Linked DNA regions of Struthio camelus. The protein of the gene in region 2 interacts with the protein of the main gene of each other region in a biochemical or structural test. Links are inferred from orthologs where the notes say so. Each region holds a gene or a part of one and is shown on either strand. Other genes may lie near its edges.

Region 1 (7,338 bases), on a different chromosome or scaffold from region 2:
CCTCCCGCGCACCCGGCCGCGTCGCCGCCGCCGCCGCGCCGGGCCGCGCCGAGCCGAGCCGCGCAGCGACAAACGCGGCGCGATCGCCGCTGTGCAGCGGGGAGGCGGATGGGGGAGGGAGAGGCGGAGGCGCTGCCCTGTGACCCGCACTACACGCCTGGCCATTTCTCCTTCCCCACGGTAATCCCTCTTCCCGCCGCAGAGCCCAGAGAACCGCCGGCCTGCTAGGAAATAAGGCAATATTTGCGAGCTCCTGAAGCGCGCAGCCACTGCGGAACGCGCTACAAAGCCCTGTCCTCAGCAGGGGAGCATTGCGCCGGGTCCTGACTTCGCTGCTCTGGCGAATAGGTATCTAAATATTTCCCGGTGGACAGAGATTTACCTTGGGGGCTGCGGCAGGACTGGGGTAAGCTAGTGTCCCGGGGACGCAACGCTATGGATAAAATAAAAAAGGACGATTGTGGAACACAACATTTCTCTCCGCTCTAAATTTAAGTCCCTTTCCCAACTGAAAGCCAAAATAAGCTTTCAAGTGCTTGTCCTTTCAGTGTCAACACTTGAGGATATATTGCTGTGGTACATTTTTTTCCAAAGAGGCAATAAATAATTTTCGATTTCACGGTCATCTTGTGAATATTCCTCTGTACCCGTTTATTCTGTTCAAAACACAGTGGAAGCGTAATTCAAGGATTAGGGGAAGGGGCTAAAAGTCCTGGACTGAACAAACAGACACAACCTAGAGCACCCAACACCACCACTGTGAATCAAAATGCACTCCTCTCCCAACTGATTCTCACCGGGTTATCTTCTATTTCACTGCGTACGGCAAGCAGAAAAAGATAGCCATTTTATTCTACATTTCCCATTATTTTAAGTTGTCTGATTTCAGCGTCTTTGATTTTTCTCCCATTTACAATTCCGGGTGCATTCATGTGCTGTCAACAGCGTTGAGTCAACAAAAGCATCCGTAGGCAACTTCTGTTTATTTACAGTCCTAGGCTGATCTGTTTTCCATTTAATGGAAATTAAATGGCGAGGCACTTTCAGGTTTCATTTCTCCTACAGAATCTTGAATCAATAGCACCAGTGCTATAATTAGGAGGAATTTGGGAGACAGCATTTAAAAGAAAAAGAAGTTTTGTTTACACGCTTCCAGTGGTAGCCGAACTTAAATTAAAATTAAAACAGTCCGTCAAGCGGGATTAAGGGCCCATTTTCAATTGCAAAATAACTTTTACGGAGGGTGGCGAGAAAAAAGGGAGGAAGGCTCGCTTTTACCACGGCAAATCAGAAATAGGAATAATAACAAAAAGCATCGAGAGACAGACAAATGAATGCAAGCGTAAACGCCTAGGGAGCACACGACCACAGGGCCAGGTCGCCATGTGGTGTAAACAGAGGGACGGGGAAGGGAAAGGAGAGGTTTTCCGATCTCTGAAAGGCTTTTCTCCATTTTCCCTGCCGAGATAAACGGGTCTGGGGTTGTGGGGGGGGGGGGTGCGCTCTTCCCCCGGTGCGTGCAGAGGGATACGAACAATTGCAGAGGCGCTGCCTGCTCCGCAGAGCCCCGCTCGCAATCGCACCGCCGGGCTCAGCTCTGCGGCGGGGGGAGCCGCGCCCGAGCGGCGCAAATCCCGCGAAACCAAAACCAAACCGGAGCCGCGCCGGCCGCCGGCTCCTGGGGGAGCAGGACGCGACCCCCGGGGAGAGGGAAGGGAGGGCCGGGCTCTGCCCCGCCGGGGGGGACCCGCTTGCCCCGAGCCACACAGCCGTACACAACCACACAGACACGCCGAGGTGCCCGCGGCCGCGGGGTGCGTCCAGCCCTGCCCGCGCCCCGGCCGCCCGTGGGGACCCGAGCAGGGCTCGGGCCGCGCCGCGAAACTTTGTCCCGCGCCCGCCCCTGCCGCATCGCTGCGCTGCCGCGGAGAGCTGCGCCCTGCCGGGGGCACCGGCTGCCCTTGGCGGCGGCCAGGAAGAGGAGGAAGAGGAGGAGGAAGAGGGCAGGCGAACGCGCTCTGCCGGCTCGGCGGCCGCACCGCCGGTCCCCGCCGCTCCCGCTGCCCCAGCGGGGCCCCGCAGCCCCCACTGACCTGTTTTTAGCCGCCGCTGCTCTGTCTCTCTGCCTTCGGTTTTTGAACCAGTTGCCTACTTGCGTGGGGGTGAGCCCCGTGGCCTGAGCCAGTTCCCTTTTCTTGCTGGGGTTGGGGTAAGGGTCCTGCAGGTACCACTCCCTCAGGAGGCTGCGAGTCCTCTCCTTGAAGCAGTGCGTCTTCTGCTCTCCATCCCAAATGGTCCTGGGCAGCGGAAACTTCTTCCTCACCCTGTATTTATCAACCGGCCCCAGCGGGCGACCCCTTAGCTTCTCGGCCTCCTGGTAGTGCGCTTCGAGCCACATGGCCTGCAACTTGCCGTGGGACTCCTTGGTGAATTTGTGGTTCTCCAGGATGTGGTAGAGGTCTCGGAAGTTGCCCGTGTGGAAGGCGACCACGGCCCGGGCCCGCAGGATGGATTCGTGCTTGTTGATGGCCTCGCATGCCCCCGGTGCCACCGGCAGCGACCAGAGGAACCTCCCCAGCCTCTCTATGTCTCCGGTCTCCTCCAGCGTCTCGCAGACGCTGGCCACTTGCTCCGGGGAGAAGTTGAGTGTGGGCAGCTGAAACATTGACAACTCTTCGTGGGGTGCCCGGGAGCTGCCGCCTCCGCCGCCGCCGGCCCCGGGGCTGCAGCCCGAGCCGCTGCCGCTGCCGCCGCCGCCGCCGCCGCTGGCGAGAAGGAGGGAGCGGTGGTGCGGGTCGGCGGCGAAGTTTGGCAGGAAGAAATGGGTGGGATAAAGCTCTAGCGGGGACCTGAACACCATGGGATGACCGGGGAGAGGGGGAGATGAATCAAGGAGAAAAGAAAGAAAGGGAGGAAGAAGGGAGGAAAGGGCACACGCACCGCGCACGCATCCACACCCGCACAAGCACACACAGCCACATAGAGGCACGGGAGCACACACACATGCACACACACGCACACACGCTTACACGCACACACACACACACACGCACACACACGCACGCACACGCACACACACACTCACACACACCCGGCCCCGCGCCGCCGCCGAGTCAGGATTCAGTGATTCAACAGCAATCGCCCTAATGACAACAGCCTCATAATATCTCCCCTAAATCCACAGTGAGTGCAGCACTGAAACATTTTGTTTCGCTTTTCTATTGGTCTTCTGAGTGTCGTTGTGGCGTTGCCATGGCACCCCCTGCCAATCACTGTCAGCCCTGCCAATCATTACTGAGTACGTAAGAAAGGTTTTTACCACTTCGCCCAAATGCACGGGGGGGAGGGAAGCAGGGTGGTTGGTGGAAAAGCGTGGTTTTTTTTTTTTTTTAATCTTTGCAACTCCTAATCTCAGCACTTCCCCTTCTCCCTGTCTCTCCCCCCTCCCTCTCCACACCCCTCCTAAATAAGGGATCAAATAATGCGAAAAGCAGTGTGCACATATTTGTTGAATGGGATGAGCAATTAGAGGGTGGAATATTATTGTGATCTTAACGAGCCTCGTTAAAGCTAAAGGAGATATGGGGGGAAAGTAAATGGGCCAGGCTGGGATACACGTTCGGATAAAGGGCTCCTAACTGAGACAATTTACACATGATTTGCACGTAGTTTCACTTCATTCTGCCTATCTGAGCACTAATAGTGCCGGGGAAGAAAAGAAAGATGAGATCATTAGACCCATCCTCATGCCGGTGACCCTCCCAGAAGCGAGCACATACAGTGCAGCCCGGGTTTAGCCCTGGCTCCCTGTGCCCTCCGCCGAAGGAGGTACCTGCCGGACGAGGAGCTGCGCGGGGCTGCGCGGGGCGCCGCGCAGGGCGGCCGGGCGGGCGCGGCGGGGCTGCCAAGCCCCGGCCGCTCCCGCTCCCGCCGCCGCCCCGGCCCCGCGCCGCTTCCGCTTCCCTCTCCCTGCTCTTTCGCCTTTCCACTGCGCTTCTCTCTCCCGCTGCCTTCCCTCCTCCCCCTCGCCTCACCTCCTGTCGCCCCTTTCTTTCCTCCGAGGCAGGTCTCACCCCGGCCCGGCCGCGGCTGTACCCTGGCCCGCGCCGTCCCCGGCCGCTGCGGCCCCCCACCTCCCTCGCCGGCCGACGGGCAAAGGGGGGGGGGGCGAGCGAAAGCGGGTCTAAACCCACGCCTATTTTCCTCGTAGTTATTATTATTTTTTAATTGGGAGCAAAGAAAATCTGTGTGGTGTTTGGGGTCCATCCCTCAGTAAGAGCTAGCGAGGTCGCCAGACCTCGCTACCACGCCACTATATTTATTATTAGGTATGTTGCTTTTAAGAAGATTTAATCAGCATCTTGAGCTGGTAACTCTTTTGTTTAGTTTCTGTAGCTATGGAAGTGTGATTTACAGAGATTTGTACGGGTCATGGACATCTTTCCAGACTTACTGTGTATATTTAGACAGGACTTTGCTTGGTGTTAAAAAGTGTATATTTTGAATAGGTTCACACACAGTAGCAAACAATACCGACATTGTAAAGGCATGTACAACGAGTATTGAAACGCAGCATCCAGACTTCAACTAATCTGCCCTCAATAAAGCTGAAATAATTATCCTAAGCCGCCTTTCTAGAAGAAAAATCATTGAGGAATTCAAAACTTTTTTAAAGATCTTTTCTGCATTCCGATGGAGATCGAGGGGTGAGGCTTGGAGCCCAAACTACTTTCAGACATCAATGGAGGGAAGGAGGAGGGGAGGAAGAGAGATATTACAATTAAAATGTGAAAACATAGCGTGACTTGCCCTATCCGAAGGATAATAATAATACTGCTATGGGTGGTAGAAGTTCTTTAGCTGGGCTCCAAACTGGTTGTGATCCTTTCACAGCGCACTCCTCGTGAAATAATTCCAAGTGGCAGATGAATAGGTCCAGTTGGAAGAGCTGCTGGACTGGAAGAAGCTCGCTGTATTACACATTCATCTGATTTCCACTAAACTGTCATCGGTGTACTACATTGGTTCATATTCGTAATGGAAATAACTCGCCCTCTTAATTTTTAGTGATCTGCCGAAACACTTCTGTTAACAGACTTGGGGTAAACTTTTTTTTTCCTCCCTCCCTCCGTGGCTCATATTTCCTGTTGCACAGCTAAGGAGGAAAAGAGGCTGCTCAGCCCCAATACAAATCGACTTGGAGGTATTAATTGGACAACAATATGTTTAGCCCAAGATTTTAATACACACACACACAAAATCTTTTTCTTTGTAATCCTTTCCTTTTATGTAAAGGATTACAGAGGGGAGGGTGGAGGAATTCCTGCGGGAGTTTCTTAATATTTGATTCCATTTTTCGTCAAGCTGCAAATTAAACTCCCCTAATGTATATTTCTAGAATCAAATCCATATGGGCTTTTTTTTTTAATCTCCCAGACAATCATACTCTGTTCATTTGCTTATAGGTTGCTTCCCTCTGTTAGAATTCCTGATGAAGTTTATAAAGCTTCAAAATATGTACAGAGCAGATTCTTTCTTTCTTTCTCTCTCTCTTTCTTTTTTCTTTCTTTCTCTCTTTCTATTTCCTTCCTTCCTTTTTTCTTTCTTTCCTTCTATCCCAGAAACGTACAAGCCGCGTATCTGCGGAAAATGTTTCTTTCAAAACGCGTGTTCTGGAGGGAATTTCAGTGCACGAGTACCCTGCGTGCGTGTGTATGCATGCGTGTGCGTGTGCCTGTGTGTTTAAAGCCAAACAAACCCACGACCCCGATGTGCCTATCAGCTAGTATCAGGGTCTTAATAAAGCTCTGCTCTTCTCTCTCTGCACATGGACCTCCAGCCCCAGAGCGACGGCTGCCGCCAGCTCTTGCAGGGGCGAAGCCAAGAGCCTAAAAGGCTTGAGCTCGCCCAGGCGGCGGGTGGGCGCGGGTCCCCGCGGCACGGCGGCGGCGGCAGCCGCTCCGGCAGCGGCTCCTGCCTCTGCCGGCCCGCCGGTGCCTCGGCGCTGCCCTCCGCCCGCCAGCGAGGGACGCGCTCCCCGTGTCCCGAAATGTACAAGCAGATAATTGCCGGCGCTCCAGCTTTGTGTGAGGAGGCCAGGGTGTAAATGGCTTTTAATGACTGCAGCTGCTGGCTGCAAACTGTCAATGGGATCGGCTAATGCCGAGCCCGGACCCGGCGGGCGCCGCGCCGCAGCCGGGCGGGCGCAGGCGGCAGCCCCCGGCGCGCAGGGCAGCGCGGAGCCGGGCGCGGAGCCGGGCGCGGGCGGCGGCAGCGGGAGCACGCCGGCGGAGGCGGCGGGGAGACACTGCCCTCTCGGCTGGGGAAATCCTTTCCGGATCCTGTAAGTTTCTTCTCGGCACGCTCAGGTCCCGCGGGGAGGCTCCCGGGGCCGCGCAGCTCTGCGCCCCCCGCCCCGGCCCTCTCCCACCGTCGTGCGTGGGGCTTGGGGGGTCCGAGGTGATGACAAGCGGCATCCTCCTCGCTGCTGATAGCCTTCTTCTCCGGGCTGGGGAAATCTGCGGTCCATTTCCAGTCACTCTTACTTGATCCCACATGATTCATTGTTTTAGCTGCTAGAATGACATGTGGCTCTGCAGGGCAGGGGAGCAAAAGAAAAAAAAAAATCCGGCAACCTCATACCAAAAAAAAACCTCCCCCTAAATAAACCGGGACAACCCTATGTTCTTTTCTGAACGGAGCCCTGCAAAGTTGCACCTGTCTCTGTGTGTGTGTGCGTGTGTGTGTATCTGGCTGCCAACCTGGAGGACTTTTCCTGGGAGAGGAAAGGAAGCAGAGAGGGAAGCTCTTTTATTTCACTGCTTGTTTTGATGGTAGCTCCCAGGAGGCTGCGATTTTCTGCTGCCTAGTTAGTGCCCCTTAATCCTGACTCGGGAGTGACTCAGGCGACGCTTGCGAGAGCTGATTATTTTTTATCGGGGGAGGCCGGGGCGCAGACGGGGCTGGGGCGTAGCGGTGCGCCCGCCGCGGTACTGGCGAGCGGGAAACGCGGCGCGGCGGCGGCGGCGGCAGCGTGGGCAACGGCGAGGGGGGAGACAGGGAGAGATGAGGGCAGGTGAAGGAGAACCCGTCGCGTTCGTCTCTCTCTCTCTCTCTCTCTCTTTTTTTTTTATTATGATATAATTGAATTTTTGTCATTCTTCATTGGCAAGCGCTGACAATTTTGTACAGCTGCCGTCTTTAAAAACACATCTATCCAGCTCCTTCCTTCTCTTTCTTTCTCTCCTCTTTTTTCTGTCACTGTTTCTCAGGATAAATGAATATGCTTTTGATGGGTGTGTAAGATCTGGCCCATTCGGCTCCCGTAATCCAGTCCTA
Region 2 (7,344 bases):
ATCAAGACTTTATTCACCTTTGTCACCTTTTACATTTATTCTCTGAATGAAACGATGGGGAGGATTCAGACTCAAACCTAAATTCAACACAGGTTTTATGTGACAAAATTATAAACTACAGTGCTTTCATTAATGCCCCGTCTCCAGGAAGGAATCCAGAAACCCAAATTCGTCGTTTCACTCTTTGCCTACTTTCAGGGAGAGAAAAGGGAAAGAACACTCTACCTTCAACACGTTCACAGGGCCGCACGTAAAATCTCACCCCTCTCGAGAAAAGGATGCATAGCTTGGGACTGCAGGGCATCGCTTCTGGCCAGTGCGGGGTGAGGGTATTAAAACATTTTCTTGAGGATGGTCGTCTACCAGCTTTCTTAAAGACACAGCCAGAAGAAGATGGGTGCTACCTTCCGGCAATACAATCGTTGGCCAGTTACAACGCTCCGTACAAACCAGAAGATGTGACATTCCCTTCGGAGTCCACATCGACCATTGTCCAAGGGAATGGCCTAAGCATCAGGCTACTGACCGTTTGGGAGGGTATGGAGGGGAAAGGAAACCTTTCCCTTGCTTGGTAGAAGGGATTAATTGGGCAAGAAATTAAGTTCACTTAAGCCCATGACAGTATTTTATACTGTGAGAGTTTAGTAGGAAATACGGACGCCATCCTTGGAGCAGGAACGGCTGCGCAGAGCCCCTCCGCTCCAGCAGATGGCCTGAAGCATTAGACCGCAGTGCTGGCATACAAGCCTGAAAGCGGTTACACCACTTCAAAATGATGAGCGAGGTGCCACCCCGGATGATCCAGGGATTACAGCAGTCTCCTGGGAGGTGGAGAATGTGGGTTGACTCTCCTCTTCTCCACTCTTATCCCCCTACCCCAGACCGCGAAAATTTGAATCTGGACGTCCTGTTTTCTGTGCAAGTGCTGAAATGACCAAGCTATGGTGTATTTAGGGTGCACCAACGGACTTCTCTTTTGGGGTATTCCTAGAAGAGAGCGTTTAGGCAGAGGAACAGCTGGTTTCTACATCCTCGAGAAAGACAGGGAAATTGGTAGGTAATACAGGAGGATACGCTTTGAGCAGGAGGTTAGACTAGATGATCTTCCACACAGCATCTCTATGGCAGTATTGAATTTTAGTGTCTCCAGAGAGACGGCAGCTGGACACGATTTCTGGACTGCAGGTTTTGACTTGGGTATTTAAGTTCTGCAGTAAGTACCTAAAAGCAATGACTTTTTATTATCTTGATTCCAGAAAGTTGTGGCCTGAGGACTGGCCTGGACTTCACAAGCTCTGGTCTTGAAGAAGGCAACTGTAAATTCTGATAAGGAGTTCAGCATTTAGTTATTTGACCATTAACACAAACGCCATGCATGGGAACTGGAAATGAACCCCTCAGCCTCTCCATATTGTTTACTCCCTGTGCGAGTCTGAGCCACCTGCACTTCCCCTACCTTTGGCCTCACACAGAAAACGTCACTTGACAACCTTCCCGCCTCTTTGAGCTTTACTTCTCCCAAAGCTTCCCCCAGATTTTCACAGGCTTCACCTCCTCATTCTCATACACAGCCTCCAGCTCCTAGTTTTTGTCCCGAGTTATCCACAAGGCTTCAGCCACAACATCCTTACGGCGCTCATTTCTGCACTGCTGCTCATGGTCACTCCAGCTGACGGGTACACACACGTAGTAGAAGTTGCCCAGTGTTGATCCTGTGCCCTTACAGCTCCCGGCTCGGTGTTTATCCTTAGCTTGGGAGCTCCTTACCCGAAGGACTTCCTTTTTGCAGGCTCAGAAGCATGCAGCACATAGCGATCTCTCATTTAACACCTCGCTGCGAAATGATCAACAGCGCTCACCCAGGGGGAGAGGGCTGCCTTCGGGAGCCCCCGCGCACTGCGCGGCTCCCCAGGGGCAGACCCAACACCCTGAAGGGCTTAGCGCTCTCAGCGACACTTTCTAACCCTTTTCTCCAAGTATTCCCACATAACGCTGCTTTAAATGCCGCCTCAAGGACTCGTTGAAAGACTTTTAAAACAGTCTTGCTTCTGGTTTGCGATTTGGGGTTCCCCCCGCCCCCTTTAGCCGTCTGGCATAACGACATGTGCAGGCTGTGGGAGACGGGGCAGCTCGAGGGAGCGACGAAGTTGCACCGCGCCGTGGAAGAGTCACGGGATTGGGGGGGGGGGGGCGGACACAGCGGGGCCGATTCTGCCGCCCTCCTCCTGCTACCGTCATTTTGGAGGCTGGTGGCCCATACAGCCCGTGCAGGCGTGCGAGCCGGCCTGACGGGGTTGCTTCACGGCCCGCGGCGGCTCCCCGAGGGGGCGAGCGGCGCTCCGCAGCCCCTTTCCCAGCAGGCAGGCAGAGACGAGAAGAAATGACAGCATGGAAAGCGGAGTGATTTTATCAGGGCCGGTGCTCGGGGTGAGCGGCGGGCGGAAAGTGTCGCCCTGCGCCTTCGCCCTCCGCCGCCCACGGCGGGGGCGGCTTCAAAGGGGATCTCCCCGCGCGCGGCGTGGCCGCGCCGGGCCAGCGCACCGGCCCCTCGCGGCGTTTGCGCCTCTGCCGGCGCTTGCTCAGCAGCCGGGGACTCCCCGCCGGCCGCCGCCGCTGCCATGAGGTCACCGCCGCGCTATGCGCGCCCGCCGCCGCCCCTGCGCCGCTCCGTGACGTCAGGCGGGGGTATCCCCGCCGCCGCCGAGCGGGGCATCCCCGCCGCGGAAACACCGCGCGCGCCCCCACGCGCGGCCCTGCCCGGGGGGGAGGGGGGCGGCCCCCCCCGCGCGAGCGGGGCGCTCGGCCGCCGCTCAGGAGTGCCCGGGGGTGGTGGTGGTGGAGGGGGGGGTTGCAAGGCAAAGGCAAAAAAGGCAGCGCGCTGCCGAGCGGGGGAAGCACCCCGCGGGGGGGTCTGGGGGGACGGGGGCACGGCCGGGCGCACACGGCTGCAGCCGGCGAGCGGGCGGCGCTGCGGGTCGGCTCGGGCCCGGCCCGGCCGGGTGTGCGCGGCGCTGCGCCCCCCGCGCAGAGGGAGCCGCGCGCGCGTGGCCGGGGGGGAGGGGGAGGGGCGCGGCCCCGTGACAATGGGACTCGCTGGCGCTATAAATACCCGCCCGCGTCTATATTTGGCTTGGCCGGATCACAAGCAGGGGGCCCAAAAATAGCCCCGCGCGCCCGCCCCGCCCCGCCCCGCGCCGCCGCCGCCGCCGCCGCCGCTCAATGGGCCGCGGCCGCGGCGGGGCCCCGCCCCCTCCCCCGCGCCGGCCCCGCCGCCCCGCGCAGGGCCAGCGGCTAAATTTAGCAGCGCCGCTTGCGTCAATTACGCGCCTGTCGTGCGTCAGCGCGCTGGGGCCGCCCCCCGGCGCGGGGCCCCGCGCGTCCTGTGCGTGGATTGGCCGCGGCGGCGCGAGGCCGGCGTTCCGCCGTGACGCGGCGCGGCCGGGCCCGGGCGGCGGCGGCGGCGGAGGCGGCGGGTCCGGGTGCCCCGCCGGCCGGGCAGCGGCGGCGGCGGCGGCGGGGGCCCCCGCGTGGCGCCCGCCGGGCCGCGCCGTCGGCGGCCGCCGCCGGGAGTGGAAACGCTGCTCGCAGCTGCGGGAGGCTGGCAGCGCCGGCGTGGTGCCCTCGCGTGCACCTCCACCTCCACTCACGCGTGTGCGTCCACGCGGCTCGAGCGCGAGCAGCAGCGTGGCAGCGGTGCTAACAGTCGCGGCAGCCAGCGGCCCTACTGCAAGCGCCAACAAAGCGAGGGTCGTTCGTTAGAGGCTGCGGCCGCCGGGGGCTCCAGCGCCGCAGGCTCGGGAGCCCCCGACGGAGCCCCAGCGCCGGGAGCCGCGCGGAGCAGCCCCCGCCCCCCCCCCCCCAGCACGGCGCCCGCCACCTGCTCTTTGCTCCTGCGCGCCGCAAAGTCGAAAATAAAAAAAAGTCCCGCTGAAAAAGCCGCTGCTGAGCCAGGCAACGCTCTTTTCCCCCCGTGAGCCGGGCCAGTAAAGAGTTGGCAAGCCCACATCACCGCGCGATCCCTCTTATTGTCATCACTAGTTTTGCAGTTGGGAGCAGCTCGCCCCGCTCCCGCGGCAGCCGGCCCGCTCGCCCCGCTCCCGGCGGCGCGGTGCAGCGCGGCGCAGCGCGGCGGCGGCGGCGGCGGCGGCGGCGCACACACTGGGGCGGGCGGCGGGGCGGGCGGGGGGGGGTCAGTAGCGTCAGGCTCCCATGGCGTCACTATTGACGTTTCGCATTCCAGCCGCTCTATGGAGAGGCCGCTAGGGCTCCTCTCGCATAAATGACGTTCAGAGAGAGGGAGAGGGAGAGCAGCGCGGAGAGGAGGCTCCTTCCTCTCTGGCGGCGCCGCGGAGCACACGCGCTCGCACGGGCACCGGGCACCGGGCTCTCGCCGCGGCCGCGCACACACACACGCACACGCACACACACACACGCACACACACGCACACACACACACGCACACACACGCACACACACGCACACACAAAGGCACGTTGCGGCGGCTCGTCACTGCCTCGCTCGCGCTACTCAGGAGCAGCAGCGGGAACGGGCTCCCGCTTTCTCCAGCTTTTGCCATCCTTTCCCATGACTCGGGATAACGCGTCCTCCAGATCTGCAGCCGCCGAGAACCTCTGGGGTTTCCTTTTTACAATTTTGCCGCTGGACAGCGCCTACATGCACATTTAAGGAAACAAGGCATTTACAAACTAGATGTAAAGACGGAACCTCCACAGCAATCAAGTATGTATATGAACGCGAGAGAGAGAGAGAGAGAGAGGGAAAGAGAGAATGTGATGTGTTTGGACTTGGCAAAAGTTGTGCCGCTGGGGTAGATGCTCGCGACATGACAGCTGTGTGCGAAGAAGCTCGGGGCGGCTCATCCGAGGTGCCGCGGCTCTAGCCGAAACTTTGCCTCCCTTTCTCTCCCGTGTGGATGGTCATTTGCTACTCGGTATCGGAGCCTCCCTCCCAGCGCTGCCCCCTCCCATGCCCATAGCGCGACCGCCGCCGCCGCCGCTCCTCGCCGCCAGCGGAGCTGGGTTTGTGGAATAAAGCCCCGGCCGGTACTAAGGTATTTCTGCTAGTTGTTGTCATGGAAATGATGCTGCCGGCGGCGGCGGGGAGTTTACAGCGCTTGTGATGAATGGCAGTAATTTGTCTTCTTCCTTTAACTGTGCTTGGAAAATAGGTGGTTTTGTTTGCACAAGTTAGAGCTGTCTAATAGGGACGGCGGGGCAGGTTGATCTAATCTCTCTTCAGGAGAGAGCAGACCGTAGGCAGCCTGGAGAGCTTGCTGAAGAGGTAATTGTTGGAATGTGGCATATTGTATTGAAATGAGTCGGGATCTTTGCTAGGCACGTCTGCCCGGCATCTGTTCCTCAGAAATTTGCTCTTTTCCCTTTGGAGGTCAGAAATTGTAATCATAGGCTGTAGTGACCCAGCACGTGTGTTACAGTACAGAGAGGCTTAACTGCACTGTCTGCCCGACTCGCTGTATAAACGTCTCACTTACATTATTGTCTTAATGGCTGGGAAAGAAGTTTCGGTCCTGGAAAGAATCGATAAGGCACTGGCACTCGACTGCGTTATAGTGGGGGCGGTTGTCGCGACTGCGTTATCGCGATAGGTCTTAGGCAGAGGTCTAAGGCGGAGGTGTGGATCGCCTTCCTGACACTAGCTAATAACGCTATTTTTTAACTTGCATTTTTGAAACGATGGATTTCACGCGAGAAAATTTCCCAAAGAAAAGGCTGAAAACGCTGTTTTCTGTCGGGGATTTGTTGCGTTGGGATTCGATGGTTTTTTCCAGGGGAAAAAAAAAAGTTTGGGAATGGATCGCTAACTTTTATCCAACCCACTTCACTTGATTACATTCTTCGCCCTATTTTTCTCTCCTCCGTGGAGACTGTTGTATGTTGGAGTCAGGCCCCGCTAAAACAATGGACTGAAGCAGAGCAGACGGCTTCTTCGGAGGTGAAACTCACCCGAGCTCCTGGATATTTGCTGGAGCGATCGCGTGGCTCGGAGCGATCCCCAAAATCGCGAGCTAACCAGCAGTGGAAATATAGCTTGAAACTTTTAATTGAATGGAGCTTCCCCTTTCGCGGTCCCTCCCGGGTAAATGAAGGTTTCGAAACTCAACTGAAGAAGTCACAATCACAATGGAGTATTTCACGGTTTCCTCCTCATATTACAGGGTGGGGAGGGGTGTCACTCGGGGCTGAATGTAAAGTGCACGGAGGAAGAAAAGAGCTTTGACAAGGGTAGTTATTTCCTCCTAATTTACAGCCCTTAAGGCTCTGTGCTCCTGGCTCAGGCGTCTGCAGTCCGGAGGGGTGTTGCGTGTTTAAAAGCGCAGTGAATGTCTCTAGGTAACCGCCGGCTCAGGGGGAGGAGAGGAGCCCTAGGGCGCTCGGAGCGGTGTGAGAAGCAGCCTCGCAGGAGCTTGGCCCCAGAGCAGGGAGGGAACAAAACCAGCGGGAGAGAAGGAGATGAGCTAACAGTCATTTCACATCCCCGAGCCGCGGCGGGATTCAGAGGCAGGGGGCAAGGGGAAGCCGCAGAGCGCGACGGAGCTGTTGGCGCTCCCCGGGAGAGCTCCCGGCGCAGCCCCCGCCGGCCCCGGCATCCCCGGTATCCCCGGGAGCGCGGCGGCCCCGGGGCCGGGACTCACCGCTTCTGCGGCGCGGGCGGCCCGGAGCGCGGCCGCGGCGGGGCTCCGCGACCGGCCCGCGCTCCCTCCCGCCTGGCCTGCGCTGAGGTGCCAAGCGGTGCGGGGGGCACAGCCGCCCCGGGGCCGGGGCCGGGGCCGGGGCCGGGGCGGCGCCGTCGCGGGGGGCAGGGGTGCAAGCCCGGGAGGCTGGCCGCATTGGCAGGAAACCCCTCAAGCCCTGGCCCTCCGGCCGGTCACCACCTTGCTCAAAAACTTCCAGCCTGCTTCTGACGGCTCCCCCCCCCCATCACCCCCCCGCCCCGGCCGAAAAGGAAACTTCCTGCTCCGCGGGCGGCCACGCTGCCAAGGAGCGCGCCGCATCAATGGATGCGCGGGCGACTTGGCGGAGATGCTGCCTCTTTGCTGGAGTCAGCCCTGCCCCGGGGCCGGTTCTCCCCTTGCCTTCCCCCTGCCCCGCGCTCCTCACCAGAAAAACAAGCAAGCAAGCAAGAGCACGGCACCTCCGCTTGCCCTGTCCTTTTTTCCCAGCCCGGTGCCTTCTCCCTTTTGTGCGACGGGGGAGAGAGAGCGCGGGGCTGGCAGAAAAGGCGCTTCCCAACCGGCCCCTCTCTTTTCTCCCTTGGAGCAAGGTGGGGGCTTGCCGAGCCGCGAGGGGGGAAGGAGGCGCGGCC

What was found.
Region 1: the proteins of NR4A3 (region 2) and SIX3 form a complex in vitro, tested with the Homo sapiens proteins (3 studies listed by BioGRID). The link is inferred for Struthio camelus from reciprocal best matches to the Homo sapiens genes NR4A3 and SIX3.

What each region holds. Positions count from the first base shown.
Region 1 is NC_090944.1:109,687,512-109,694,849, forward strand, and holds the start of SIX3 (homeobox protein SIX3), read right to left. Parts: upstream 3,173-7,338; 5' UTR 2,861-3,172; coding exon 2,094-2,860; intron 1-2,093. UniProt on the Homo sapiens protein: Transcriptional regulator which can act as both a transcriptional repressor and activator by binding a ATTA homeodomain core recognition sequence on these target genes.
Region 2 is NC_090943.1:77,431,741-77,439,084, reverse strand, and holds the start of NR4A3 (nuclear receptor subfamily 4 group A member 3), read left to right. Parts: upstream 1-4,289; 5' UTR 4,290-4,740; intron 4,741-7,344. UniProt on the Homo sapiens protein: Transcriptional activator that binds to regulatory elements in promoter regions in a cell- and response element (target)-specific manner.